Struthio camelus: one gene and its partners. The protein of the gene in region 2 purifies or fractionates together with the protein of the main gene of each other region. This does not show direct contact. Links are inferred from orthologs where the notes say so. Each region holds a gene or a part of one and is shown on either strand. Other genes may lie near its edges.

Region 1 (9,548 bases), on a different chromosome or scaffold from region 2:
TGTCCCTGCTCCCCCCGGCCCCACACGCGTGGCTCCCCCCCGCCACCACACGCGTGTCCCTGCTGCCCCCGGCCCCTCACGGGAGGGGGGCGCCGCCGGAAGCCGCCGGCCCCGCGGCGAGGGAGGGGGCGGGTCGCTAAGCAACAGGCGCGGCGTTGCCAGGTAACGGGGGGCGGGCGAGGGCCCGGCGCTCACCGCCTGCGGCCGGTCGAACCTGGCGCGGCGCAGCGTGTCCGGGGCGGGCCGGGCGCCCGGCGGCAGGGCCCGGCACAGCGCCCCGACGGCGCCCGGCAGCCCCCGGCCCCGGCCCCGACCCCGCTCCGGCTCCCGCTCCCGCCGCATCGCGCTCCCGCCGCCTCCCGAGGGCGGCGCGGCGCCTGCGCAGCGCGGCCGCGCGGCCAGCTCCTTCCGCCGAGCCCGGCCGCGGCGGCGCCCCCTGGGCCCTGGGCGGGGCACGGCAGCGCCGGCGGGCGGCCAGTGCAGCCCAGTACCGCTCCCAGTACCGCCCAGTGCAGCCCAGTACCGCTCCCAGTACCGCCCAGTGCAGCCCCCAGTACAGCCCCCAGTACCTCTCCCAGTACAGCCCAGTACCGCTCCCAGTACAGCCCCCAGTACCTCCCAGTACCACTCCCAGTACAGCCCAGTACTGCTCCCAGTACAGACCAGTGCTGCCAGCATAGCCTAGTACAGCCCAGTGTGGCGTAGTGTGGCCAGCATAGCCCAGCACGGCCAGTGCAGCCCAGTATGGCCCAGTGCAGCCCAGTGCAGCCCAGCACAGCACAGTATGTCCCCAATGCAGCCCAGTACAGCTCAGTGCAACCCAGCACAGCCCAGTATGGCCCAGTGCAGCCCAGTGCAGCTGGTACAGCCCAGTGCAGCCCAGTGCAGCCCAGCACAGCACAGTATGGCCCCAATGCAGCCCAGTACAGCTCAGTGCAACCCAGCACAGCCCAGTATGGTCCAGTGCAGCACAGTAGGGCCCAGTGCAGCCCAGTGAGGCCCAGCACAGCCCAGTATGGTCCAGTGCAGCCCAGTGCAGCCCAGTATGGCCCAGTATGGCCCAGTGCAGCTCAGTAGGGCCCAGTGCAGCCCAGTATGGTCCAGTGCAGCCAGTATGGCCCAGTACAGCTCAGTGCAGCCCAGCACAGCACAGTATGGTCCAGTGCAGCCCAGTGCAGCTGGTACAGCCCAGTGCAGCCCAGCACAGTATGGCCCAATGCAGCCCAGTACAGCTCAGTGCAACCCAGCACAGCACAGTATGGCCCAGTGCAGCCCAGTGCAGCCCAGTATGGCCCAGTACGGCCCAGTGCAGCTCAGTGCAGCCCAGTGCAGCCCAGTATGGTCCAGTGCAGCCCAATATGGCCCAGTATGGCCCAGTGCAGCTCAGTGCAACCCAGTGCAGCCCAGTATGGCCCAGTGCAGCCAGTATGGCCCAGTACAGCTCAATGCAGCCCAGCACAGCCCAGTATGGTCCAGTGCAGCCCAATGCAGCCCAGTATGGCCCAGTATGGCCCAGTGCAGCTCAGTGCAGCCCAGTGCAGCCAGTATGGCCCAGTACAGCTCAGTGCAGCCCAGTGCAGCCCAGTATGGCCCAGCACAACCCAGCGCAGGCTGGCCCAGTGCAGCCCAGTATGGCCCAGTGCAGCCCAGCGCAGCCCAGTATGGCCCAGCGCAGGGCCAGCAGGACCAGTACCACCCAGCGCGGGCTCAGCGCCAGCCTGGCGGCGCCTCTGCCCCCCGGATCGCCGTGCCCCACTGCTCCTGCCGAACACGGGCGATAACGCCGCCGTCCCCCCAGCCCCGGCCCGGAGGGGCTCAGCCCAGGCAGCGGGCCGCGGCGCCGCGCCGAGCAGCCGGCGCAGGAGGCCAGCCAGCCTCGCGCCTCACATGGGCTTGTTCCACCACGGAGGTGGGTTTGGGGGTTTTTTGGGTTTTTTTTTTTGTTTGGTTTTGTTTTTTAAATCCAGAAGAGCGCGGCTGTCTGTGATCTTGGGGACTGAGTTACTAATTTGGTGCGGCCCCGGATGCCTTTGAATCCAGGTTTGCAACGCACAAACCAGCTTTCCCAGCGCACTGCGAAGCTTCGCGTCACGTCAGTAGCGATTTGCTGAGTTTCCCAGGCCCTTGAGTGTCAGGAGAAAAATGTAAGCCTGTTTCCTGGTTGGCACACGGGCAATCCCAAGCGGCGCGGAGCCGGGCCCGGGTGCAGCCTTTCCCTCTCGGGGAGCAGAGCGGAGGCTGGAAGGAGCCACCTTTCTCCCCGGCTCCTTACCTTCGCTGAGCTTTCCGTTACCGAGCCCTTCCCGCGCTCCTGCCTCAGGCCGGAGATCCCACTTCTGGCCCCTCTCGGCAAGTCCCCCGAGCCGAGCCAGGCGGCGCGCCGAGAGGCCAAAACCGCTGCACGCCGGCTGCGGTCCCGCGGATTTTCTTCCCGTGGGGTCCCGACGGTTTCATGGCCGGTTCCCCCCCTTCAGAACCCATTATTTAACATGGATCCAGCATAATGCTGCTTCCCCCCCCCCCGCCTTCTTCTTTTTTTAACGTCTGAACACCATGAACAACACGTCAAATTCCTCCCAGCCACGGAATTGCCTCTGTCAGCCAAACCGTTGCTCGCAACGAGGAGAGAAACCGCTTTTGTCCAACCGGACGCCCCACAAAACCCCGCTCGCTAACATGCACCGCGTGTGCACTCTTGCCCCCTGGGTTGCTGCCTCCCAGGCCCTCCCAGCCCTTGGCCTGGCAGCGCTTCCCCGCTCGCCTATCGGCGTGGCGTTAGCGCTCCCCCAGACCTGCCGATTCTGCTCCAGACAGCCCTGAAAGGGCTCCTGGGTCTCAGCTAGCCAGGCTTACGGGGGGGGGGGGGGGGGGGGTTAAATATCTTCTCTAGCAGCTGTTGTCTCACATCCTCCTTAGCTCCTAATGGCCTGGAAAGTATTTTCTCATCCCGGGGAGAGTTGATCCAGCTCTAGCTCAGCAATATCTGCCCACCGCTTCGCTGTCCTTCCTAACGGGTTCGGCATCTGCATGTGGTTCCTGCCCTGGGCACTCCCCCTCTGGGTCCCAACCTGCTTTGAAGGGCTCCTCTGCGGCCCAGAGCCTTGTTGGAGTCACATTTTCCTTTGCTGTCTTTGGCTTCCCGCGTCGGCTTTGTGCACCGCGCCGGTATCAGGCCCCGTCTGGTCCGTCCATGACGCATCGCTTGCCTAGTCCCCCGTCTCCGCTGCAGCAGCCCCCAGGCAGGAGGCCCTTCAGCTGGGGCCAATTTCCTCTGTTTGCTTGACCACTCAATAAACCCTTCCCAAAGCCATCCCTGTCCCCACGCGCATTCCTCTGTCTGGGCCTCCTCCCCGGGGCCGCGCGTCCCTGCGCTGCCGCTGCACGTCGCCGCTCCGTCGCCCGCACGGCTCTCCTCCTCCTCCTCCTCCTCCTCCTCCTCCTCCTCCTCCCCGGCCAGCGCGCAGGGTGCCAGCAGGCAGCCGAGCGGGCGCGCGGCCCCAGCCTGCTGCCCGCGAGGCCCAGCTTATCCGCTCTGGTGACAGCACGAGCCGTTTTTCCCAAGGTCCGAGAAGCCGACGGGAAGGCGGTGGTTTCCTCTCGCCTCCGAAAGCACGCAGCTCCGGAGCGCCCCGGCATGCAGAGGAGCCCGGCCGGGCGCCCCGACGCCGATGCAGCCCTGCTTGCAAGCACGGGGTTTTTCCGGGGGGAAAGGGCACCCCAGGGGCTGTCCAACCTGGGAACGGAGGGGAGAAGGCCGGGCCGGTGGGCGCGTGATGTTGCCCGCAGCAGTTTTCTTTGCGGCGTGTCAGCTCAGGTCATTTCCGCCCGGGGTGACTCACGGGGACCAAGCGCGCTGTGTTTGCTCCCGCGCTATAGCAACCCGCCGCCGCCTGCCAGCAGCAGGGCTCAGCGCCGGCCCGTTTGCCGGCCACGGCCAGAGGTGACGGCCGGATCCCATTGCCTCATGCAGATTGTATGTGATAGTGGCTATCGCCCCGCGCCGCTCGCTCCAGCAGCAGCAGGGCTTCCTGATGTCACCTCGGCCAGCCCACGGCCGCCTGCCTGCCTGGAGCGAGGTGTGAGCTCTCCTCCTGGGAAAAGTGCCCCGTTTGCTCTTTTTTTTTCTGTTTCCCCAGGATTATGCCTCTGAAGGCTCAGCTGAGACACAGCCTGGGCACGCATCAGCGCTTCCCGCGGCCCCTCTTCCCACGCTCCCGCCGCCTGCTCGTCCCGCGGGAGCGCCTGCTCGCCTCCTCCCTGCGCCAGCAAACATCGCAGCTGTTTTTTCCTGCTCGCCTGAGCGAGAAGTTGGGTGGCCGCAGCGTTTCACGCCCTGAGCCGATCAGATCCGCGCCTCTGCCAGGCAGGCTGCAGTTTCCTGCTGCAAACGTTCCCAGCTCCTTCCCAAGGCCCTCCCGGCTCTTTCAGATACATCCACTATCGCCCCTCTGCTGGGTTAATCTCAGTGGGAAAAGACAAGGCCTGGCAGGCAGCGGGGCTAACATCCCAGCGGGAAACAGCACGGGGGCAGAGAGGGGCCACAAGCACAGACCAGCTCGTAGCAGGGCGGTCGTGCCACCGGGCTCGTCCCCAAGCCGGGGCCTCTCCTGCCGGCCGTGGGGAAGGCTTGGAGGATCCAGGCTTGCATCCCGACACGGAGGGGTCGCCACCGGCTCCCGCTCTCCGCTCCGACCTGACCGGCCGGGAGCTTTGCTGGTGCCGCCCGGCCGCTGGGATATGCAGAGCAGCAGCAGCACCGCTCCACAAATGCCCCAGGGCAAAGTTTTTCCGCATGCAGTACAGGAGTCTGCAACAGGCCTGCGGGTGGGCGCAGCGCCGAATTCAGGGTCAGCTCCTGCAGGTGTATGCCTTGGGGTTGCAGGCCCTCTGAAGCAGGGTCTGCACTTAGAATATGACAAATGAATGGGGAAGGGTTTTTTTTTAAAAAAATTCTCCTTGCAATTCCCCGCTCTCAGGAGCGTCGCCTATACCCTTTTACTTGAATAACCAAGTTGACATTGCTCTTTGCACCCAGCTGCTCACCCTGACACTGAATCAATATTTACCGGGGATTTCATTACCCATCAGGATCAAGATTTGACTCCATCTCTGTCACCTCTGCAAAGCTGCTTCCGCTGGTGGTCCGGACGGGGCTTCCCCCACCGCACGGCTTTGCAGAGCTGGGCCAGGAAGTCCCGGCTGGCTGAGCGGGCTTGCAGAGCTCTTGCCTGCCTGACATGAGTTGCAGGCTCTCTTATCACCGCCTAGATAAGCAGGCAGATATCTGAGCAAGAATTATCCAAGCGGCAAGTGTCAGGAGATGGGTGGACACTTTCTGGCTGCTCTCCCCACAAGATATCAGAGTTCTTTGAGCTTGACACGTATCAGCCTCAAAAATAAGAGATTTAAAAAAGAAAAAGAAGTGGTGGTGAGCTGGGTACCACCCAATTACAGACCCGCTTCCCAAGACTGAGCATCTGCCGTCCGCTTCCTTCCTGTGTGTCCTGCCCAGAGCCGCATGCAGCAACGAGCGGGAGATGCTCTGCCCTGGGCAAGCAGCAGCCTGTGCGCCCGTGCACCCGGCGTGCCACGCTCCCCCGGCCCTGCCGGCACCCTCCCCGGCTCGCTCGCGGCCTGGGCGCCCGGCACAGCTCCTCTCCATCTCCCCCTTCACCCCCATCTCCCAGAGGGGACGGGGAACAGATGCAACAGCACGGCATAAACCCCGGGGGGGGGGGGGCTGCTGTGGGACCCCAGGTGCCTGGCCCCACAGCATAAATCAGGGCAGGCAGAAAAGGGGACACAGCTTTATTTGCAGAATTTAAAAAAAAAAACATGCCCAAGGGAACGGCAGGAGGTGCCAGACCAGGGTGCTGGTGGGGCAGGCGTGGTGGCACGCGGCTCCGCAGAGGCTCCCGTGGGGCAGCCAGCATCCCAAAGGGGCTGCCGTGAACCAGACCCACAGTTGTCCCACCCTACTTTAACCCAGACCCGAGCATCTGCCCTCTCCCGCTGGCCACGCTCGCGGGGTACGCCCCCCTCCGCGTCCTCTGGCTAAGAACAGCCCTAACGAGCGATGCCGAGAGCAGCAAACTGCTTTAAGGCCTCCAGCGTGAGCGGTCGCCCTTGGCCGCTGCGGGTGAGGGACACGTCTCCTGGGCGCGGGCAGGGCGGACTTTAACCCAAAGCAGGCACTGCCAAGACCGGGAGGCGCAGGATCAGGCCGGATGGCCCCAACCAGCCTTCCCTGCCTCCTGCTTGGATTCGGCTTCCAAACAGAGCCCACCCACCCGGGCTGGAGAAACACCCATGCACCGCATAAATCAGCTGCCTGGGGGACTGGCCAGGCTGAGAGTACCCCCCACCTTTCTGTCCTTTGCACCTTTATCCCGCTGTGCAGAAAGCCACACAGTCGGGGGGGCTGCAGCCGTTCCGTTTCGGAACCCCTCCTGTTTCTTGCCCTTTGCCAAAACCTCTTCTGCTTCCCTGCCCAGTGCTTTCGGGCTAACCCACACTCAGCTGCCAGTGCAACGGGTGGTTTTGTTTGTTTTTTTGTCACAATGATGAAATGTTTATAGCAACCAACTTTCAGTGAGCTGCAAACTTCACTGATCTCAGCCCGAGCTTCCGAATAATGGCAAAGGAAGGACAGCCCCTTCCTCTGGGGTTAGCAACTGCTGCGTTTAAAGCTGCCAAAAAGCAGGGGCCTTCGCACCAGGCATGACCATGCTGGAAACCATCCAATGCCCATTGCTCTCTGCACAGGTGCCTCGGGGACGGCCCGGACCCAGGTCTGCGGTGGCAGCAATATGCCCGTGGGGATTCCCTGGGAGCTGGTCTCCTCCCGAAGGTCTCCTTTCGGCCACGAGCTGTGGGAGCAACCGGCGGAGCGCGCTGAGCCGGCATCCCTCGGCTGCTCCCCAAGAAGAGCTGGGGCACCGCAGTGCTGGGAGGACGGGGACCGTCTCCGCCGGCCTCCCCAGTGGGGGGCCCTGGGAGACCCCAGGGCCTCGACCTGCCCCGCCAGAGCCGGGAGCATCGCGGACGAGCGGCTCTGGAAGCCGCCCTGCCGCCTGTCTGCACGGCTCGTGCTCCAGGCCGGCGAGATTTACTGTTTAATGGAGAAAAGATTATGTCTGCTGACAGCCCGTCTCCGCGGCTCGCCCCGTCCCCCCAGCGTCGGTGCAGCACGGAGGAGAGTGCCTGGCTCAGACGCAGGTTTCCTATCCAAGTGCAATACAGCTGTTTCTTCTTCCTCTCCAAAAACCGAAGCAAGTTTTGAATCAATTTGTCATGCATTTGCTTCGACCGAGGCTCCGTCCGGATGTGACCCAAGCCTGAACTGCCCAACCTCACAGCATCGAGGCTGGACTCTTCCCTCTGGAGCGGGCTTGAGAGCATTACTCAGGCGAGCAAAGCACGCGGAGGGGAGTATCCCGACAGCAAGCCCTGCGGCTCAGCGCCAGCCGTCTCAGCGGGAGCGCCTGCTGCGGGTCGGCGAGAGGAGGAGGAGAGCCAGAGGCTGACGGGCGGGCGAGGGACTCGACACCCAGAGGCTTGTCCCCAGAGCCTGTTTGAGGAATCTCCCGTTTTCACCCACCCGCAGGCAGAGCCTGGGGCGAGGCAGCTGCAGCCTGGGTTGAGCTTCGTTGTGTGTTTCCTGTGGCTGCACAGACCTCGCACAGCTCGGTTCCTACATCTCTCGGGGTGCTGGGAGCAAGGAGGGCCAACCCGAGCTACTGCACCTGCATCACCAGTATACAGCAACGCCCAAAACAAGCTGCAGCCTCGACAGCCCACCAGGAGCCGACGGAAAGGCTCAGCAGCGGGGTGCTGACCGACAGCACAGGGCCCCGTGGACAGAGGACCAGCCCCAGAGACCAAGGGAGGACTCAGTTACAGCTGCTGCAAGACAGCTGCATCGCACCAAAACCTGCAAGAAGAGGAAGCAGTCAGGTACCTTCACTGGTCCACAGAAAGTCCTGGGCTGCAAAGCAGCTCTGGAGGACTCTAGTCCAAGGCCCGCCCCAGGCAGGCCCAGCTTCCCAACCCCAGCAAGCTGCTTGAGGTCTCATCCAGTTGTTTTCTCTACCATTTGCACATGGCCAGCAGATTCCTTTCAGGGCAATTCCCCATCATCCTGCGCCATGTCTTCCCGCTCCCCCTGCACTGCCACCAGAAGCCTTCCCAGGCTCACCAGCATCCGGGAGACCACATTTTCCACTTGGAAGCAAATAGCACTTCCTTCCACGAAGCCCATGGAGCTGTGGGTATGGTGGGGCCAGGGTCCCCCTCCATCCTGGTATCGGGGCAGGGAGCAGTCACAGCAGGCAGGAGAACACAGCAGATTGCTAAGCTAGGTCAAACCTGCCTTCACCACGGTGTGATGGGGCTAAATGATCATAAAACAGCCCATTAAGATTCATTCCAGGGCCCTGTGGAAGAAAGCAGGCTGCTTTCATTAGCGCAGCACTCACAGCTCGCGCCGGAAGGAGGATGTGGTGGCGGAGCCCAAAGCACAGGAGGCTGCAGCTTCCTTGCCCTGTTGACAGGGGCTTTGATGATGCTCTGATGAAGGCAGGGCGCACTACCTCCTGCCCCAGGTGCTGGCACTACCCAGTAAAAGTGCTTTTATTTAGAGCTGGATTGCCCTGAGCCTCTCCCCAGCCAGCACTTGATTTTGCCAAAACGTTATCTGGTTCCTCACTAGTCCCTGCTGGTTTGGGCTCTTGCCCCTGCAATTATCTGCTCCTGGAAAGCTGGTCTAAAAAGTTTTGGTTTGGAGCCTTGTTTGGAAAAACCAGGAGACCAATTCACGGATCTTTTTCCCCCATAGGATGCACTTACGCAAGCCCAGAGGATGAGGAGGCTTGCGCTCGCTATTATTTTTAACATTAAGGGCAAACTACCTCATCGGCATGCTCAAGGCCTCTGGGACTACATCACTCGTTCGCTATGAAGCCCAGTTTGCAGAGCAGAGCACGTTGGGTGCCAGCTGTGCTTACTGGGCGCCCAGCGCGGAGGGGCAGAGCCCGCAGCGCCGCCGGGGACCACGTCTCCTGCGCGCCAGCGCGCCCAGGAAGGCTTCTGGGGGCAGCGTGGGGGGAGCGGGAAGGCATGGGGCCCTGAGAGACCTCGCTGGCGGGGAGGTTCACCCGGGACCGGACAGAAATAGCCCTTATTTGCCTTTCTGCAGCCACAAGCATTCGTCAGGCTAAGCGGGTGGCAGGCGAGGCAGCTCCGGCTGTTTGAATTTGTGAGGCTGAAGTGTGCTTTGTGGGTGCGGAGACTGCTGGCATCAAGCACAGGGGAGGTTTTAAGACACTTGTCACACCACAGATTTTGGCGCTAGTCAGGTGCCTCTGACCCCTGAGGGTTTGGGGCCAAATCCTACAAAGACCAGCGTCACAGTAAGAGGTGGAGCAGCTCCTAAAGAAACGTGTGCGTAAACGGGAGATAAAGTACCCAACGCGCGTTGTGAAACACATCAGAACGCGTAAATTGGGAGGTCCAGGTTAGGAAAAGGTGTGCTTGAGACACCACGTTAG
Region 2 (9,770 bases):
AGGATCTCACAGTGAAGTAGGACTCTGTGCTGTTTTGCTCAATGTACTGCAAGCTGTCCCCGTCATTGTACATAATGAGACGAGTGGAGTCATTGAAGAGAACTCCAACACTGTTGTCGCACAGCTGATAACCTAGTCCAAAAGGGAGTCTGTTAGACCTTCAAATACACAGGATTGCTGATTGCGCAAAACACAAGGTAGAATTGTGTCAGGTAAGGGATTGCTGACAGACACCCCACCAAATCTAGGGCTCCTCTGCTTTGCAGAGGTCTGGGTGGCACTTTTCCTCCTCCGGATTTATCACCCTCCCTTGTCACATCACCTGCCACAGAAGGAAGTTTTAGTAACTATAGTACTGGGTACCATTTGCTCACTGCAGAGTGAGGCCACATTCCCTTTAAGCATGTAGCTGTTTTCTGCCTGTAGTGGCATGAGCTGATGTTCAGTGACCACTGCTCTGGATTCACTGCATATTCAATAACGTTCTTGGTGGTTTTAGACACCTACATGTTTGACTGCCAGATTAAAGAATCTCACACATGCAATGCCTGAATCACAACTTCCCTCAGCTTCTTCAGAAACTGGAAAAGGCTGAAGTGCTGTCCCTTTATTACTTACCTAGACCATATTTATCTGAGTAGTCCACCCATTTGCTAACCCAGAAGATAGGAATGCAGGCTGGGTCTTCAGCCTCTTCTGCCAAGAGAACAGTTTATTAGAAGACGTTTTAAGGCATCCTGCACATGGCAGTAAGCAAGTAAGGCCAAAAGGCAGGCAAGTAGCTACTGCATCACTTCTCTGCCTTCCAGTTTGAAGCCAAGGAGATCAGTTGGCCCCTCACTTTGAACAGCAGTAGAATGACAAAAAAGCAAGTTACCTAGGAAGGCCAGTGCTTGTGGGTTTGTCCCCAGGCTCACCTTGTCTCACAGCCACTCTCTCAGATGGCTTGGCTGAGTTGACTGCAGTCAACTGCTGTAACATGTCCACTAAGTGACAGTCAACAGCATCTCCCAGCTCCCGCAGCCCAGCTACATCATCTTTTTCAGGCAAGCTCTCTAGTGCAGGGCTGTCTGGTCCTGGGCCAAGAAAGAGAAGAGTGTGGAGGCATTACCAGGAAGTAGGTTTCTAAAGGCACCAGCTTTACATTCAACCCTAGCTGTAAGAAACATGTTACACACCATATAGCTAAAGCTAGTGCTGACACAGCCCAGACTCAAAGCAGGGAGGAGACCTCCCATTCACAGTGTACTCCAGCTTTTCATGAGAGTCATGAAGATGTGAGGCAGTATCACATTCCCCACCAAAGGTCTGGATATTGCCAGAGGCCAGGTAGGCTTTCAACCAGCACTGCAGCGCACAGCCCTCGGCTCCCAGGTGCTTGCGCTCACCTTTGTTGAGTGCAGTCAATGGCTTTCGCCCATTCAGTTCAAGCCCACTGGGAGCAATTGAAAACCTAGGTGCGACGGTGAGACAACTGGTGGGCAAGCGGTTAGGGATGTATCCTGATGTGAAAAATTCATCATTCAGCAACTCATCGATAGTTGGGCGTGTGGCAGGGTCAGACCTCAGCATCTTCTGGATGAGGTTAGCAGCTACAGGGTTGATGTGCTAGGAGAAAACAGAGGCAGAGTTAGAAACAAGAAAAGTCAAGGAAAAGTGTGCAAAAGGAGCAACGTGCACAGGGTGTGCAACATGGGGACAGCTCTTCTCAAAGCAGAGCTCCTGTGCTGCAGCAGGCACACAGGACGCCAGCCTGGGGAAACAGAACAGCTCACCAGCACCTGTACAATCTCCTGGCAGAGTTCAGAGCTTTAAGTCAACTGACTAGCAAGACTGAACCAACAGTGGAATAGAGCAGGGGGACCTGGTCCAGACCTCATCTGTGGCTGGACTTGAGCAAGTTAGTTTACCCCATGGCCTTTTCCTCCATGTGCCAGCTGCCCAGCTCAGATTTTTGATATGTCAAGGAGGAGCTGCTGGCTCCTCAGTAGGAAGCTGACCCCACAGGTCTGTTCTACCACAGACTGAAATATCCCCTTCATAGCACTCAGCAAGGAGAGCTGTTTCACCATTCTGCAAGAGCTCATTAAGTGTCAGAAGCAGAATGCTGCAGAAGGCAACCAAAACCTGCTGCAAGGTTGAGTCCACCCACAGGAAGTGCCATACCTTGGGGATGGTATATTCATTCTTCTTAATTCGGATATAAGTTTCCTTTAGACAAGAGGTTTCAAAAGGTGGTTTCCCTACCAGCAGGGTATACCTGTGTGTTTAAGGACATAGAAGTGTGTCAGTTTTGTATGAGGCAGCCTGCAGGGGGACTACAACACCCCTGGTCCAGAAGCAGCCCCATCCTGAAGTGCCTCCTGTGACTTCCCAATGACTTCCTTGTTCCCTCTGCCAGGAAGAGCTGGTACAGCAGGCAGAAGTATTATTTCTAGCTCCTTCTCCCAGAGGGGGGGAGTTGGGATTTTGTACCCCTGGAGAAAGTTCTGGTTAGGAATAAGGGCTTTTGGGAAAAATACCTCAAGACAGCCCCCATGTGAGCATATTAGCCGAGCAGGTCTAACAGCAGTGCTCAGCCAGGGTGGGTGCTCTGGAGACAGCATGCCCAAAGCTTCAGCTTATACCAAAACCGCCAGGAGACCTGGAGCACAGGACAGCCCAGTCATGGGGGGTGCTTTGACTCACATGATGCAGCCAATGGACCAGATGTCCACCTCAAAGCTGTGCCCCTTCTTGCCCAGCACCTCTGGGGCAATGTAGTTGGGGGTCCCACACAGGGTCTTCTTGCGCTCTCCATCATACTCCACTTTGGTGGCCAGGCCAAAGTCACCTTTGAGACATGAGGAAGATGAGCACATAAGCCAGAGGCCCCCACACTGTCAGGGACCCCCTGAGGTCGGGGTCCCTGCTGTGGCAGGGGACACTTGCGTCACAGGCACCTACCAATCTTCACCTCCATCTCATCGCTGAGGAAGAGGTTGCCCAGCTTGAGGTCGCGGTGGATGACGCGGTGGCTGTGGAGGTACTGGCAGCCCAGGATGGTCTGGCGCAGGTAGTAGCGCACCTCGGGCTCGCTCAGCGCCTTCCGCCGCTTGTGCAGCTCCAGCAGCGACTGCGGGAGGCCGTCAGTGTGCCGGCCCCCGGGCTGCCCTGATTCCCCGGCCCCCCCAGAGCTCCCCTCCACCTGGCTCCAGGACACGATCCCCCCCAGACTCCCCCTGCCCCGATTCCCCAGAGCCCCCGGACCCCCCTGCTCGGCCCCAGGGCACGATCCCCCCTCAGACCCCCCTGCCCGGCCCGGAGCCCTCCCAGCCCCTCACCCGGCGGCGGCAGAGCTCCAGCACCACGTAGACGAAGTCGGCGTCCTCGAAGAAGCCCTGGAAGCCGACGACGTGGCGGTGCGCCAGGCTGCGGTGGATGGCGATCTCCATGGACATCTTCTCCTTCTGGTGCGGCTTCACCAGCAGCGACTTGGGCACCACCTTGCCGGCGAACACCTCGCGGCTCTCGGCCTCGGCCAGCTCGTAGCAGCGCGCGAAGCCGCCCTTGCCCAGGAACCGCCCGCGCACGTAGCTGCGCCGGGTCCGCGGGTCCACCAGCACCTTCGGCACCTCCTTGCCGCCCGCCGCCGCCGCCGCGCCGCCCGCCCGCCCCGGCTCCGCCGCCCCCGGCGGCCGCGCCGCCTTGCCGCCCGCCGCGCTCATCGGACCGCGAGGGCGCGACCGGGGTCGGGGCCGAGGGGCAGCGGAGGGGCGCGGAGCCGGCGCGGTAACCCCGGTGCGGGCGGGCGGGCGCGGAGCCGCTGCGGCGAGGGTCGGTGCGGGCGGGCGCAGAGCCTGCGGTGCGGTGCGGGCGGGCGCAGAGCGCTGTGGCCGCCGCGGCAACACTGTAACAATTTCAAACGCGGAGCCGGAGCGTTACGCGCGCCAGGGCGCTCCCCATTGGTCGAGAGGATTTAAAATCCAAGCGCCCGCCGCGACGCACCATGGGAGCGCGCCCCCGCCCGCCGCGTTTAAAGAGACAGGCACGGCGCGGCCCGGGGGGCGCGGGCGCCGCCTGGCGGCCGGGCGGGGCGCAGCGCGGCGCTGTCCCACGCGTGACCGCGGCGCAGCCTGGGCCGGGCCGGCTGGGGGGAGCCGCCTAGTGGGACTCGGCTCGCCTGCCCCGTCTGGAGCAGCTCACGTGGTTTCTGGCGTCCTTCGAGGACGCAAAGGTGCATGTGCTCGGCCCCCTGGGGCGACACGCCAACGTGGGGCTGTGGGGTGGTGGGGCTTCCCCCACCTCGGGGATGGGGAGCGCCGGGTTGGTGGCCCCACGGGCAGCCCGGCACCGCTGCATTCAGCCCCAGCAGCGTCCGCCGCCCTCGAGACCGCAGTCACCGCGTGGGCAGCAGCGCGAGGAGCACCGAAATATGGAGCGGGAGAGGCGGCTGTCTTCCCGTTTGCTCGGGGACCCTGCTCCGGAGCTGGCCCCCAGCGGTGCTGGCAGGGGAGGCCGCTGGGCTCCGGACGCCTGGTGTGTTCAGCGTTGTCACATCAGGCGCTCCCCAAGGGCCCGCGTCCCCCCGGCACACGGACACCCTTCCCCACAGGACGCCGAGGGCCGGCAGGCAGCCGTGACGCTGGACCAGCGCCGAGACCGGAGCAGGGGACGTGGTGCCTGCGCCGCAGCCTCCCCGTCCGCCCTGGGAGTGGAGGTACCTCCCATTTTGAGCTGAAAAACTGGGAAAAGAGGGCAAGTTGTTGGCAGAGCTCTCTAACAGACTTGTTGAGGTCAACCAGACAGGGCAGTTTGCCATCCACCTTAGCAGAGGCTGAAACCATCTTTGAGTTATAGATGGAAGCTTTCCGTTGTCTAAACGTCTCCCACAACAGCGTGGAAACTTCATTTACTTTTTTACAGTGCTTAATACTGCCACTCAGATGTTGATTGCTTTTCTGTGTGATAAAAGCTCTCATTAGCCTGAACTCACACAAAACCCTCCTGGCAGCACAGCACCGATATAGCATTGATAGGACACTGCAGTCAACCCTTCAGCAGAGTTCTTTTTTACCTGTTTATTATTTGTGTGTACAAGAAGGGCTCAAGAAAGCACAGGGGGACAAGTACAAGCATGCAGGTTCTAAGGGGATGACATATAATTGAGAACCAGCTCACAAAGACTGGGGCAGCATTGGACAATATTGAAATACTCAGAATTCCTCAAGGCAGTGTTATGCACGTCTATAGTTGTTTGAATCAATACCATCATTTGTGGATTTGGGAAGTCAAACAGAAATTATAGACACAAATACACAGACGATACCAGTTGCAGAACTGTCCTCCCAGTAAGGAATGCAAGTGTATTTTGTTAAGTGCATTTGGAGGGGGTTACTTTTACGAGAAACAGCCAAAGGTGACGTTAGTTTGAATCCTTTTCCCCCCGTCCTGTGGGCTGTAAGCAGCTTTTCAGTCAAGTCCTTCTAGCAGACTTAGTTTAAGCATTTTTTTGGAAGGGAAATTCATGTTACAGTTTGTACTTAGTTTTTTCTGTGAAAGAGAAATGGCAATTAGACAGCTCCGTTCCGTGCACATTTTTGAGACTCCTCCAAGCCAAGACATTGCTTGTTCATATATGGCCGCATTTCTCCAAGAACCTGGTCATCCTGCTGATTTTTTATTCTGTGGTCTCACATATTCCTGCTGTCATTTTCAGTTTCTCTTGTGGCACCTCTCCCTTCCCTCTCTGTCCCGTGGGGGTGAGATTCTGACAGCTGAGTGAAATTGTGCCTGACCTTGTTAATGACTTTTTCACCTTCCTCGTCCCAGTCACCACATGGGATACTATTTAGGAAAGAAAATAGCAGCAATGGACCACATGTGCACTAGGGCCTGGAGAGCTTGTTCCTGTAATCTAAGAACACCATCTGTTAAGAAAAATAACTTTAGTGTATGTACTCACCCCTTAATCTGATTTTGCTGCCTGCTGGCTCAGAACAAAACACCAATGAACAATAACCAAGAACGGCACAAGAACAGGTCAGCTGTAGCACCTTAGGCCATGAGCCTGCTCTCTCCCTCCAGGCATGCATGGTCATACGCTGAAGCCAGGATGAGGACACAAAGGAGCAGCTGGATCTCCCCCCCGAGCACTGACTCAAAGCATCATGTAAGTGTAAGTATGCAGTGGGAAGGTCTGGCTCTCGGGTGTTTTGTGGTCCCGCAGGTTGGCAGAAGTTTGGCTGTGGGAGCAATGCTGTGCAGCAATGGGGAGGGTGAGTGGGCTCAGAGCACGTTCCAGCCAAATTCCAAACAGATTGTGTTTGCTGCACTGGCTGGTCTCACTCAGCCAGTTACAGTGAGTACAGTTACCCCTGATTCTAGTAGCAGGCAGGTATTACAACCACCAGCAGATGACGGTGGACACAGAGTAAAAGAGAAGCGTTCTGAAGCCCCAGTTTTACATTCCTGAGGACTTTAAATGCCCCACATAAGAGTGACCAACACAAATAGCATGTCCCTCCAGTCTTGGTCAGAGCAAAGGGGAGTATACAGGACTGATGAAGCAACATAGTGGTTTACTGTTTGAAGTGATTGCTTTTTGCCAAAAGATTCTTGAAAGAAGGCATTCACATTGCCCTCCCCATCCCTTTGAGCATCATGCTTCCCCACGCACCTACAGCTCCTCTTTGGCTGTGCAGCAAAGCCCTCTCTTGGAAGTCACGTTTCATTGCACTTCACTAAACTGAATGTTGACATCAGAAAACTACAATTCCCAGGGGCTGTAGAAGCATGCTGCAACCTACTGATACTCCATCATTCCAGAGAGCTGGCAGAGGTGTAGAGATGAGCCCAGGTCAGAGTGATGCTTCAGAGGACAGGAGGGTAAAGTGACCAAATCTAAGGAATGTTAACATTGCTGAGTATTTGAGATCTTCAGTGGTGACTTGTTTTTAGACCCTGGCAGAGGCCACCTTAACAGAGACAATAAAACAGGTTTTAATCAGCCTGCTAGAAGGAAGACAAGGCTGAGAAACGTGTAAGTGGCTATACAGTTACATATCCCTCACTGCACTACAGCTGTGCTGTTCAAGTGATGATGGAAGTACATCATTCCTGAGACCTTTCCAGATGCAGTCCCATTTCCTCTCTCAAACGCATATCCCTTAACTCAGCAGCCCTCCCTCCACCCCTCCTCCAGCAGCCTAGCTTCATGCTGCCCAACTGTGGTCGTTAATCAAGCGATCCCAGTGAAATGTACTATGTAGTGTTAAAACTTTGAAGTGACACCATGGCAACACAGCACATATAGGCCCTTCCTGACCAAATACAGTGCTACTTCACACACTTCAAGAGACAGCTGATAGCAAGTTAACAGTGCAAAGTAGTACGAATGAGTGGCAGTATAAACGCCTAAACATCTGACATGCATACAATCTTGCAAGAATCTCCAAGCCTGTGAGGCGTGGTGACTGAGGCAGCCTCCTACTGCTCCTTACAGCAAATGGCTTCTACAAGGGTCAGTCAAGATTTTTGACAGGAGGAGCTAGTCATATTAGCAATTGAAGTCAATTAGGAAGCTGCCTGTAGTACAAGTGTCAGCAGCGCTTACAGCTTCATACTTTTCACCCAGGTAGAAAAAGTAGCAAGCCTGGCCCTTTCACATATAAGTCACCCTCTGAACCTCCACAAGATCACAGAAAGCACACAGTTCCCTTCTGCATTTGTCTCCACTCCCACTTCAGGAGGGCTTCACAAATACAGCTGCCATTAAACAGCTATTTCAAGCTTGTATGGAACTAGGCAACAAAACAATCCTACTGAAGCTGGGCTTCTAGCAAAACATTTTGCCTCTCTCGAAACAGACGTGACCTAATTGGTCCATTGGAGAATTCAAGAGTAGCAACCTAGTTGTTACAGCCTCAACACAGAATTGCATCTTCTTGCTGCAACCGTGTTTGCGGTCATGAGAAGCTGGCTCCAGCTCCTGCTTTTTTGCACAGACGCAAAGGGTTACACCATCTGAGACTGCTAGATCCAAAAAGCAGGCCATTTCCAAGTGCTTGAAGCAACATCATTGGAGCTGCTGCTGTACAGAATAGGTGTGTGTAAAGTTTCAGTGCCGGAGAGGATTTTACAGTCACCCTGGTGGCTTTAGGATTCTCACTTCAGTATCAAGAATAGCAGCAAAGAGATTCTGTATTTCAGAGCCTCTACACAATAGCCATGTTGGAATCGCTTCATTTGTTGGTAAAAGTCATCAGCTCAGAAGCAGAAAAGTAGAAGCTGTTTCACACTGTACTTCAATTTTTAACACGCTGACACTACATGCCGGTAATATTCACAGAACAAGAGACTGTGATACATGTGCACAAGCACAACAGAAACCTCACCCTACTTTCAACAGTTTGATTTGAAAAGTCACAACCTTGAGTCACTTGAATAACTTAAGAGGCTTTTAATTTATGTACAGGAAACATACAAACAAACCAGACACTGGTTTTACATTTGATTAACAGTAGTTACTTTAGTGTTTTTATAGCTGTCTGCTAATTAATGTATATCAGTACTCTGCATTATACAGAAGAGCTGAATGCATGAGGGCTGCCACGTCTCACAGTCGCATACCTACTACCTACCTAATAGGCATTCTGGCCCCTAGCTGGTACACTACAACATGCAGGAGCGAGCCCCAGTTTTAAAAACTACAAAGGGCTGATGCTAAGCTTTAATATAACAAAACCAGAGCAGGCAGATTCATTGTTGGCCATTTGTCTGGTACTAAGTACATAAAGTATCAGCTGTGTTCAACTTTCACACAGCTGCTCCCAACAAGAATAACTGCAGCTGTATTACATGTGCAAAATGAAACATTCACTCTTTCCAAGAGGTCTGAATCTCCATTCTTAAGTTTTATAATGCAAAAAAAGCACTGAAGAGCTTTCTGCAAATATACACAGTGGGTGACAAATGGGGACAACCGCAGGATTCTCCCGCCCACCTCCAGTTTTGGCTTTTAATTCCCCACCTTCTGCTGCACTGAATTTTGAGAGTGAAATGGTAATCCTCTTTCCAAAGCCCTTTGGCTCTTTGAGGTCTGTGATGTTCTGGAAAAAGAACATGCATCAGACATGAAAATCCTAACCCTGCATGAGGTGTGAGAGCACACAACTGGTGCCTACTTCAAGAGCTAAAAGCTAAGTGTCCTATCAGGCAAGTCAGAGTAAGATAGGTTTCAATCTGTCAGCCAAAAGTGCTAAAACCAATCACAGGATGATAAGATACCTCATTCCTATAGGAGAGAATCTCGGTCCACAGGGAAAAAAGGAAGAGGTCATCCACCTCAACACACCGGCCCATAGATGAATACATATTTTTCTGAAGGAAAGCACTGGCTCTAATGAGCTACAGTAACTGCCCAGAACAAACATGTCAGCTACATAACACTTCTGTTCAAGGATGAAGGGTGCTTCTATCAGATGCAAACCCACTTGCTTTGGGTTAGGAACACAACTGATATCAAAGACAGGCTTTGGCTGCAGAGTATGAGCTGTTAGCTCTGCCTCGTTGCTCAACTGCAACAGCCCTAAAGGGAATTTTATCAGTTTTCCTAGCTCCAGAACATTTAATGGCACAATTCAGACAACATGGAATGAAGAAAATTTGAACGACCATACAAAGTTTAAACAACATGACACAGCAGTTTTCACAAGGGACTGCTTGGCCAGACCATTAGTGTTGAGGAACACCCGCAGAAGTGTTCAGGAACAGCTGAGGACCATGCCCTG
Region 3 (9,965 bases), on a different chromosome or scaffold from region 2:
GAAGCATCATGTGATATTACAGAGGGATGAAGAGAAAGAGGAAAAGACTTCAGCAGCATTCTAAGAGGAAGTTGGATGTAGACGTTAACAAGATTAAGCAAGAGCCACAGGTCTCCCTCAACCAAGGCAGCTGAGCATACTTAACCTTGATGCCAAAAGAAAAGCTTTAACATAATTAGAAAAAGACTGGTTGCGTTAGGAAGGGCTAGAGTTACATTTTAGCAAATAAATAGCTTGCAAATAGGAGTAGCAGGTGATGCCACTTTCAGGAACAACTTAAATCAACCAAAAGAAGTCTGAACCTATGGGAGCTTTTTGGTTTTATCTAAATAGCCTGGATAACTTCATCTCCCAAGCTTTGTTTCAGGCACCCTCCCATTCCAGTTAACCCACTGTCTTCCTTTGAGTCACTTGCTGCCCTTCTCTATCACTTTACTTCAAAACTTGTCTCCTTTCCCAATAAAGCGTTTACAAGGGTACCTTTGCTATAAATTTAAAAATCAAGAAGTTTCAAGTTCAGCAGTTAGCCATTTCGTGCTGTCTCTGAAGATTAGGTAGTCACCCCACTGATTTAACACATCTGTTCTACTTACATAAGGTAGTAGTCTTAAGACTACTTAATGTCTTGGGGCTTACCTCAGCTGAGTTTTAATAACTGAGTGAAAACATTAAGAACAGTTACTTTTCTGGACATGACTACCTGCACTAGAATTCTTAAATGCACTTGGGATACATACTTTCTTGACTTTTTTCTCCTTACCTGGTGTTGCATGAAAGCTGCAAATTTCACATGAAGATGTGCTGAAAACCAATAGGTGGGTTTCAGATGCTGCAGAAGCTCTGAAGCAGCAGGGCTTCCTAGCGTGTTGCTCTCCACTTCTTGACGGAAGAAGGATTTCATTTTAAGAAGCTGTTTCTTGTTCCCATAGTGATATATGCTCCTTGGCCAATCATGTGACATAAATATATCCATTGGACGTTTTAACTATCAAGCCAAAAATGCATATAAGTAAAACACATATTTAGAACAAGTTTCAAATTTACACAGCACAAAATACCACTTGTGTAACAGCAGGTGTTCTATCTCAGATCAGATAGCTAACTGTGACTTACAGCCTCACTTTTTAAAGCAATGAAGTTACACCAGTAAGCACAATCTTCCAGGTGGCCTTTGAAGTTATCAAAGGACTCCAGTCCCCACAGTCTGCGCTACACTTTCTCAAGACAGCAAGCTGTGCTTTATATATACTGCCTTATAAGAGATACCAGAACATCTCTATACGTGTCAGACACTCAGAATAAACGCTTGAAATTACAGCTGTGGAGAAAGTTCTTGCCACACCAAAGTCGTCATCTTCCCCACAAAATTTAAGAGCTTTGTTTAAAAGGGATAATGGCTGTGTGTGATACTCCTCCTCAAAGGAAGCACCAGTCTCAATGAAACAAGTACATCTTGGTTCAATATTCAGCATATTTTCATCAGTTGTATCAGACCACACCTCTAGCAGAAACCTGAGTCCAGCTAGTATGAAACTCACAGAAAAACGCATCATATCCTTCACAGGAAGAGCAAACCTTTATCCTTGCATCTACTGAACAGGTAAGTGCACAACTGCAACCTGAAGAATCATTCACAAGATGCTTATAAAAGCATGCATTCACACCACAATCTCGGACAAACAGTGTGATCCCTTGTGACAAAGCAGGGAGTAGTCCATGGCTCAATAGTAAAGTTAATCTGGCCTTTGGGCTGCTAGCCCTGGGTCAAAAATGCTTTAACCACAGGAATTTGGCATCAGCTCACTCTACTGGTTCAACTTCTGCATATTTTGACTAGTTAACTTTGTACCAACCAGGCTTTAAGTTAGACAAGGTAGCACCCATCTTCCTACACCTAACATAAACCTAGAACAAATGCATGTAGCTGAAGCACCTCCCACACTGTGAGATTTGTTTTTTAATAGGTTAAAACAACAAAAAAAACGCACACATGCCGCCTGTGCCCGATTCGAATCAGATTTGTACTGCTAAGCAAAACAGTGGAGCAGACACGTAGCAGGAACAACTGCAGAATCACAGCCAGCATAAATGGGTCTGTCAACATTATATAATGTTGCAGAAGAGTCTCAGCTATATAATAGTATACTGTTCAGAATAGCTTTAATATCTATTTCTCAATTAATGAAAATCATTTTTTACTTTTGTTAAAATTTTCACTAACCTGCTTGAGTTTGAAGACTTCAATATTCCTCACGTGGTAAGCACTTCTTATTGTTTGCTGGTTGTAAGGTGGACACTCAAAGTGGCCTGAAACATAGAAGAAAGAATACTTGCCTGCATCAACAATTGCCTCCTAACACTGTTTGCAAGCTAACCTCTTGGGGTCATACAGACATCTAGAGCAACGTCAAACACAAGGCTCCTAGTCACTGAAGGAGATGCTGCATTTCCTCTACAGAAGGCTTACACCAACAGTCTGCTAACTCCTTTCATGCACGCAGCAAGTATATTCTAAAAATGTGTCCACAACAATGTACACTTCTTCCAGTCGCTCTCTTACTTTTCCAAATGTAGAGAATACAGTAATCTTGTTTCCACAACTGGAAGCTAGGAGTTTGACTCCAACGCTTAAAACTCAGGAACTGTCTGAAACAAGTAACTTCAGTAGAAAGACTCGAGTGCTTTATTCCTGAATGAGGCTTTGTACCACTCAGGTGAGATAACACCTCCCATTACTTCACCACAGCCCTTACCTTCACAGTTACGCCAGCATAGCCACATGCCATCGCGTATGTGGAGAGCTGTTCACTGCATAGCCACGCGACATAGATAGCTATTACTTGAGCCAGTTCCCATGGCCACACATCCCATGATACTGGCACAGCCAAAGAACATATGATGAACAAGAAAAAGACTGGCATTACCTTAGAGAAGGGACAGTGCACCTCTCTATAGGAGGGGTCAATAGGCAGAACATAGGTCACAAGAGTTTATTGAAAAGAGGTGTAAGCTAAAAAGGTCATGAGGCACTGCATCAGATCTGACTCCCAGACTCAGGCCACTGATGCTATGATTTCATGTGTTTCTTCAAGAACCAACTATGAAAGCACAGCTTGCCAGATTCAGCAGCAGCTTAGAGTGTCACGTCTGGTACTGTCCCAGGTACCGCAGACTCTGGAAAGGCAAAAATGTTCCCTTACCAAGGGGAATCTAGTCTACAAGAAAAATAAGTATCCGGCAGAGCTCCAACATAGTCTGAAGGATGAACAGCAGGATTACATTTTTAGTAGCTAGCACTATTACGAAAGAGCCTAATATCCCATGAGCAATATTCAGGTAAGCAAGCTGTCTGCTCGACAATGACATTTAATTAGCATTAATATATTAAACAGAATCATCAACTGTCTCAGAAGAGTAGTTTATTACTTTGCAGCATGAAAGCCACCTGCAAAGCTTCTCTGAAGCAGTATCTTATGAAAGACAGCATTCACAGTACAGTAATTACAAATAAGAAACCGTTATCCCATGTGTCAAGGGGATCAGAAAGACTAATCATCTTCTACCATTTGCTGACAGCACCTAACATTTGTGATCGGATCTCTGACCACCCAGGGAGACCCTTCAAGGGAGGGCTCTTGAATGCACATACACATATCTGGAGGAAACAATCTGACACTAAGCCTCAGCTCAGGACAGCACATTTGTATGATATCCCACTTATAAATTGCCTGTTTTACACAAGAAAAACCAAGAAGTCTTACATTAGATGCTAAAAGGGCCCTGCCAAGGAAGAATCAAGACTGTCCCAACCATAACACTCAAAGGGAGCGTTTGCTTCCTAACATGGTCAGCAGGCAGCTACCATAGTACCGCCCACCTCCAGAAAGCCACAGAAATCCACATGTAAAGCCAAGGGAGGCTTCCAGTGTCAGAAGTCAGTTCCCAAGTTATGAGGGGGGTGAGCCAGAGCCTCCTGCCGCGGCTGGGAGCTGCTTCTGTGGCCGCTCGTGCGCCGGGCCACTCCACCACGGCCTCCCCACTGTACCTTTCCGGTAGTCGTGAGACTTGAAGATGCCCGAGATGCCGCCGATCCTCACACCGCGGAACCGCACCACACCTGCGTAACCTAGGGGAGACGGGAGGGTAGCTCGTCACGACGGGGGCCAGCCGGGGCCCGGGCCAGGGGCAGGGGCGCCCGCGGCCAGCACGGCAGGAGCAGGCAGCCGAGCCCTACCGAGGTAGTAGATGTTGGGCGCCACCCACCCGCCGTACGGCAGCTCCTGCAGGTGGTTGGACGCCTCATGGTTGCCGCCGATGAAGATGGTGAGCACCGGGGCCTTCCTCTCGCCGGAGTAGTACCTGCGGGGAGAGGACACCGCTGGAGCGGGCGGGCCGGGCCAGGTGCAGCGGGGCGGGGCCGGGCCGGGCCGGGCCGGGCGCGGCGGCACTCACCGGTGGAAGGTCTGCATGTGGCGGTACTTGGCGGGCACGGCCATGCAGCGCAGGTCCGCCTCGTTGCGCACGGCCTGGAAGTCGCCGCAGCAGAGCAGCAGGTCGGGTCGCACGTTGTGCCGCCGCTGCAGCAGCTCCAACGTCTCGTACATCTTGTCCAGGGCGCCATGGCAGCAGCCAGCCACCGCCACCTTCATGGCGGCCGCTCCACCGTGCGCAGGCGCCGCGCGCGCCTTCCGCGTCACCGCGCGCCCGCCCGCCCTGCGGCGCCGAGCCCGCGCAGGCGCGCTGCGGGCCGCGGGGGCGGGGCGCGCGCGCCAGCGGGGCGGGCGGCGGCCCGGGGCTGCGCGGTGCGGCGGGGCGGCTGCGGGCGGCGGCGCGGGCTTCGCGCGCCGGCTGCCCGTGGGCCTGGGCACAGCTCGCGCGTGCAGTCACAGCCGCACATCCCGGCTGCGCCGAGCGCCTGAGGGGACGAGCCGCAGCGCTGAAAGCGACCGTGCTGCTAGCGGGGCACGCCGTTGCAGCGGGGATGTCTCGTGCCGTACGCGGTGGTCCTCCAGGGAGGGAAACCTTCGAGAGGGCAATGAATAAGCGAGGAAAAACTGAGAAATGCAACTGCAAGCATGCGTCCCGATAACTGGGTGTAACGTTGGGCCCTTTGGTAAAGGGATTATCTTTTCACCCAGTGTTTGTACAGCAGCTAGCACACTGGTCCCCAATAAAAAAAGGCCTATCTCCAAATAGGCAGTAGAGTTCTATGAAGTTTTGATGTCTTGTGCAGCGGGGCCCAGCAGAGGGTATGTAAACTGCGTAAGGGGATTCTACGCGCTCCCTGTACACCGCAGAGACCGTTAAGGTGCGTGTCTCCGTGGGCACAGCCAGAGCTAGTGCAGTACTGGCTTTGCCTCTTCCGCAAGCTTCGCGGCCTCAGCCAGGAAGCTGCAGAAGCTTTACTTGTTTCTCATTGTGTGGCACAAAGACTGCAAACTAAGCCACAGTGGAGCAGTTGTAGTACAGAAAGAGTAGTAGCTGTGCATGCTTTTGTATGATACTCATGCCAATAAAAGAGTGGCTATGGGTTTGCAAAGGACACATCAGCCCTACAGTAATACTTTTGTCCCACCAGTTCAGCGTCAAACAAGCATATTTTTAGCATATTCAAGCATTTGTTTCTCATACCTTCCTAAAAAGCAAGGACAGAAACAGACCGTGGCTTTTCCAGTACAACGGCATATGGGACATGGGGAAACCGGACCTCTGTCCTTTAACTTACAGAATGTCAGACGCCCTGCTTTGCAAAGCACCAATTTCCTCATTTTGAAGGGCTGCAAATTGGATCATAGGGTGGTATTTGCGTGTCATGTAATAAAACCACTCCAGACTTTTTCCACTGTTTTTTTTTAAGAGTCTTGAGGGATGGAACAAAATTACAACAACATAGTTAAACATTAACTTGCTACTACTTACCCTGTAATCATGAACTAAGCAGACATTCCCGTTCCCCTACAGTAGCAAGTATTACATAACGGCTTCTCTTTTGATACTAAGAAAATATGAGTATTCTGTAACGTATTTCATAATTTCACCATGTTGGATTACTGTGTATTTCTTGGGGCTTTCATCCAAGACCAGCTGAAGTCAAGGGAAAAGTTCCCCTGCCTTTAGATCCCCACAGGTCTTCAGAGTAGAAATGCACACAGAAGTATTCTTAGAAATAGTCAGCTCTTCCACTAACTTTGCTGAGACATACCTGAGCATACTGTGAGAATTCAGTTTGCCAAATCATCTCTTGGGAAGGTCTTCTACCGTCTGTGGGAAAGTGTAGCTGTCCCTGGCATCTGCCTTGCCTCAGACTTCCTGGAGGGGTGGGGATGGAAAACAGAGGCCCATGAGTCTCTAGAAGATCCCATCCTACCTTCTGGCCATCTTCGGTGGCTTTCCAAGACTGCCAGCAGCTGCCTCCTTGCTCTGCTTCTTCCAGCTGGCCAGGACTTCACTTTTTCCTTCCTGAGACAGCCGTACTGCTCCCCCCCCCAGCCAGCTTTGTCCCCAGAGTCAGGTAAGGTATGCTTGTACTGTAATTGTAAATCCTGGGCTTGTTTCGCACACCCCATGTGCCACTTATCCCTACTGGTGCACAGGTGAGGCTGTATGTTTTCTTTATGTTGTAGCATTTTAATATTTGTACGCTATTCATTATGTGTCTTCATATCCCTAATTTAACTGTGGGTGTTCACTGAGCTCTGAAAATCTGCTCTGAACTTTCCACAGCAGTCAGATCGCTAAGCCCCCGTGGAGGCAGCTGTGGTCTGTGATATGACCGACGTGCAGCTGTCTTCCAGCGCGTGACTAACGCACGTTTGGTCATTAATTGGGCTCTGTGGTCCCCAGTCCCTTGCTCTGATGTGCTTGTGCACGTCTGTGCATGTGACTGGATGCGCAGTCCTACAACAGGGGACCTGCACTTCTCTGAAGTGATTGAACGCACATCCTGTCCTTCGTGACAGGGGAAACAATCGTGAGGCCATGAAGGGAGGGAGAGTCTCAAGAAACAGGCTTGGATCAGTGGATTGTTCTGGTGGGAGGTATTTGGCCTTTTGGCTGTTGCCTGCCCAGTCCAATCAGTAAGGTTTTTTTCCTGATCTGACTGCGATAATGTATAGCCGTGGAAGTAGTTCAGTTTTTCTCTCCAGGGGAATGAAGAATGAAAGGCATCCTGGCTGAGGACGACTGGGTTGCTTCCCTCACCTCTGAAAATGGAATGAGAGAAGCTTTTGGTGACTTTTCCTGCCAAGTGCTTCCTGGCTCCCAAGGAGATGCTAAAATGAGGAGGAGCAGCAGAAGAGAGCCAGTGGGAAACATCTGTAGCTAACTTTTGGGGAGAGATGGAGTAGCTGAGAAGAGAGGTATAAGGGAGAAGTGGTGGAAAGTTTGTGAAGGAGGTGTGTTTGTAAGTGAGGTGTGAAGGACAAATCAAATGCGTCCAGCTGAGAGCTTGAATCACAAGACTCACCTGCAACTCGATGTTTTTGTGCCTCTGGGCACCTTCTCCCTCAGTTTCACGTCTGATAATTGCAGCACAAAAAAACAACCTGCAATGCAACAAAACATGCTCTGTCAATGTAAGGCCCGCTCCAGGCCTAGCTACAGTGGTCTGGCAGCCGCCTTCCCCCTCCCATTGCACTTTGGCTGTCCTCCCTCTCACTTTTTACCTTTTCCTGGAGGCGCCCATCACGCTGTTTTGCTGGAGGACGCTAACGGCCTTAACGCCCAAGAGGGCTGCAAACCTGCCAAAGCCAACAAGCGAGGCAACCTACCCGCCGAACTTCACGAGCGGCTGAGGAAAAACAAAAACCACCCTTCCCCCCCTCCAGAGACGCCGTGCGGTGAACCACAACCCCGCCGAGCCCGGCTGCAGCCCAGAACACGGTCAAGGACCCGCCAGCATTGCTTGTCCCCAGGACGCCTCGGGGCTGAAGCCGGACCTGGCCGGCCGCCGCCTCACGCCGCGGTCGCCTCAGAGCCGAGGGGGCGCGGCCGTTAGGGCGGGGCGCGGCCGTTGGGGCGGGGCGCGGCCGTTGGGGCGGGGCGCGGCGGCCGGCGCGGGTGGGGGGCGGGGCGGGCACGCGCGGCGGGCGCGCGCGGGGTCCTTCCCCCCCCCCCTTCCCCTCACACCTCCCACCCTTCCCCACACCGCGGGCAGCGCCATCGCGGCGGCCGTGGCCTCCCGCTCCGCTCCGAGCCGGGCCTCGAGCTGAGCGCCGCCGCCGCCGCGCTCGGCGGGGCGGGGCGCGGTGCGGCGCGGCGCGGAAGGGGCCGGCCGGCCGGCCGGGGCGGGCGGCAGTGCGCGGCCGGCGGCGGGAGCGGCGGCGGCGGCATGGCACGACGGGGCGCTGCCCCCGCGGGTAGGTGTGGCGCTACCCCGCGGCGGCGCTCGGGGCCGTTTTGGGGAGGGGGGGAGGCCCGCGGGGGCAGGTGCCGGGCGGGCGGCGGCGGCGCTGACAGGGCCCCGCGGCGGCGGCGGCTCCGGAGCGGCGGTTGCGGCACGGCCCTGCCTCCCCCTCCCCGCCGCCCGCCTTTGAGCTGTGAGGAGAGACCCGGGGGCCGCTGCGGGAGCGTGTGACGGGCCGGGGGGCGGTCGCAGCCTCGGAGGGCGGCGGTCTCGGGGGTCGGGGTGGCCCTGCTCCGTTGGCTGCCGTGAAACGGGAGGCTTGACGCTGGGCAAGGCTCACCCCGCGCTTGTCTCGCGTTCGTTATCCTTTCGGTGAACGCCAACCCCGGGCCCCGGGGGGAGCCGGAAACCTTTGGCCTTGCTCCATGCAGCTGCTCCTACCTTGTCGCGAAGGTAGGATACTTCTTTAGGAAGTGTTTCCTAGGTAGCCAGGGAACGTAAATTCCCAAGCAAGAGAGGGAACAGCTTTGGCTAGGCGATCTCCTTGTTTCGCTGGCAGGCAAACCCAAGATTAAGGTGGGCGTAAGCTTGTAAAACCGAGGTTGAATAGCTGATGGAATAACTTACTGAAGGACGTGTTTTACTGGAGCAAGTCCCTCTGAAGGTCATCACAGACTGTACTGGTATCGAGTAATGTAAATATTTTTTAGGCCCAGGACTAATTTTGCTACCTCTGTTCTTCGTACTGAAGGAGGAAGCCCTGGAAGAGGTGCTGTTTTATGCCACCGTCTTTCCTGTAACAGCAGGCTAGTGGAGCAAAGGGAAGATCTAAAGAGACGAGGCAGGTAGTCCCCAAGCTGTCTGCTGCTGAGGTGCTGCCTTTGGTGGTGGTCTCATGGCTTTGCCTTGTACGATCTGATGCCTGCTTCAGGAAATAAGTTTTCCAGTCATTTATGTAAAATAGCCTCCTCCTCTCTTGGCCATTCCCTGTGATTCTCTCAAACGTGGTAGGTCTGTTCTCACAGTTTAGGTAGAGAGAAAGAAAAGTTATTGGAGAGCTTTGAGGAGTTTGTCAGTACTGTTAGACTTCTCTCAGTTTTGTAAAAAACTTTTGGTGCCTGCTGGATTCTGAGGAGCTGCATCGAGAGACACTGTATTTGTTCTTTTTTTTTTTTTTTTAAATGTACCTGAATACAAGCTATTAACATTGCATGTAAGTTCAGATAATCTACGTTTCACGTTGCCATCAGGGAGCTTTAGCTTTATGATTTTATACCGAGAGTCTGTTTCCATTGCCTAGACCTCTGTAACCGCTGTCATGCGTGATACTATGTTGTACTTGTCGTTTGTACAAAGGTGCAGCATTAAAGGTAGCTATGGCTAGGGTGCCTTGAGTGCAAGTTGACTGACGCATGACCAATAAATACGTGAGAGCTTCTCTGGTAAAGCATCTGTTTCATCTCCCTCTGCTACAGCCTGCGGAGGAGCGGGTGATGAGTAGTGTTGCTCAGACAGTTCAGAGGTCTGTGTAGTGGAGCCCTGTGGTCTAACACTGTCGGTAGCCCCAGCGGTGTAAATAGATGCTGCGCAGTGCAATTTGTTTTTTCTCCAAAGTTATGTA

The links. The genes of interacting proteins can lie anywhere in the genome.
Region 1: the proteins of PLK1 (region 2) and NOS1AP purify together in Homo sapiens (affinity purification with mass spectrometry; 3 studies listed by BioGRID and IntAct, counting the BioPlex papers as one, with this or other methods). This does not show direct contact. The link is inferred for Struthio camelus from reciprocal best matches to the Homo sapiens genes PLK1 and NOS1AP.
Region 3: the proteins of PLK1 (region 2) and DBR1 purify together in Homo sapiens (affinity purification with mass spectrometry; 3 studies listed by BioGRID and IntAct, with this or other methods). This does not show direct contact. The link is inferred for Struthio camelus from reciprocal best matches to the Homo sapiens genes PLK1 and DBR1.

The regions. Positions count from the first base shown.
Region 1 is NC_090949.1:9,629,310-9,638,857, reverse strand, and holds the start of NOS1AP (carboxyl-terminal PDZ ligand of neuronal nitric oxide synthase protein), read right to left. Parts: upstream 4,728-9,548; 5' UTR 4,719-4,727; intron 343-4,718; coding exon of another isoform or gene 196-342; intron 1-195. Other genes in the region: TEDC1 (tubulin epsilon and delta complex protein 1), read right to left, coding at 196-342. UniProt on the Homo sapiens protein: Adapter protein involved in neuronal nitric-oxide (NO) synthesis regulation via its association with nNOS/NOS1. The complex formed with NOS1 and synapsins is necessary for specific NO and synapsin functions at a presynaptic level.
Region 2 is NC_090956.1:1,057,635-1,067,404, forward strand, and holds the start of PLK1 (serine/threonine-protein kinase PLK1), read right to left. Parts: upstream 3,708-9,770; coding exon 3,324-3,707; intron 3,116-3,323; coding exon 2,947-3,115; intron 2,834-2,946; coding exon 2,689-2,833; intron 2,261-2,688; coding exon 2,167-2,260; intron 1,609-2,166; coding exon 1,389-1,608; intron 1,077-1,388; coding exon 918-1,076; intron 697-917; coding exon 619-696; intron 133-618; coding exon 1-132. Other genes in the region: DCTN5 (dynactin subunit 5), read right to left, coding at 6,936-6,956. UniProt on the Homo sapiens protein: Serine/threonine-protein kinase that performs several important functions throughout M phase of the cell cycle, including the regulation of centrosome maturation and spindle assembly, the removal of cohesins from chromosome arms, the inactivation of anaphase-promoting complex/cyclosome (APC/C) inhibitors, and the regulation of mitotic exit and cytokinesis.
Region 3 is NC_090950.1:5,483,687-5,493,651, forward strand, and holds the start of DBR1 (lariat debranching enzyme), read right to left. Parts: upstream 4,728-9,965; 5' UTR 4,650-4,727; coding exon 4,453-4,649; intron 4,360-4,452; coding exon 4,235-4,359; intron 4,127-4,234; coding exon 4,046-4,126; intron 2,308-4,045; coding exon 2,222-2,307; intron 986-2,221; coding exon 761-985; intron 1-760. UniProt on the Homo sapiens protein: Cleaves the 2'-5' phosphodiester linkage at the branch point of excised lariat intron RNA and converts them into linear molecules that can be subsequently degraded, thereby facilitating ribonucleotide turnover.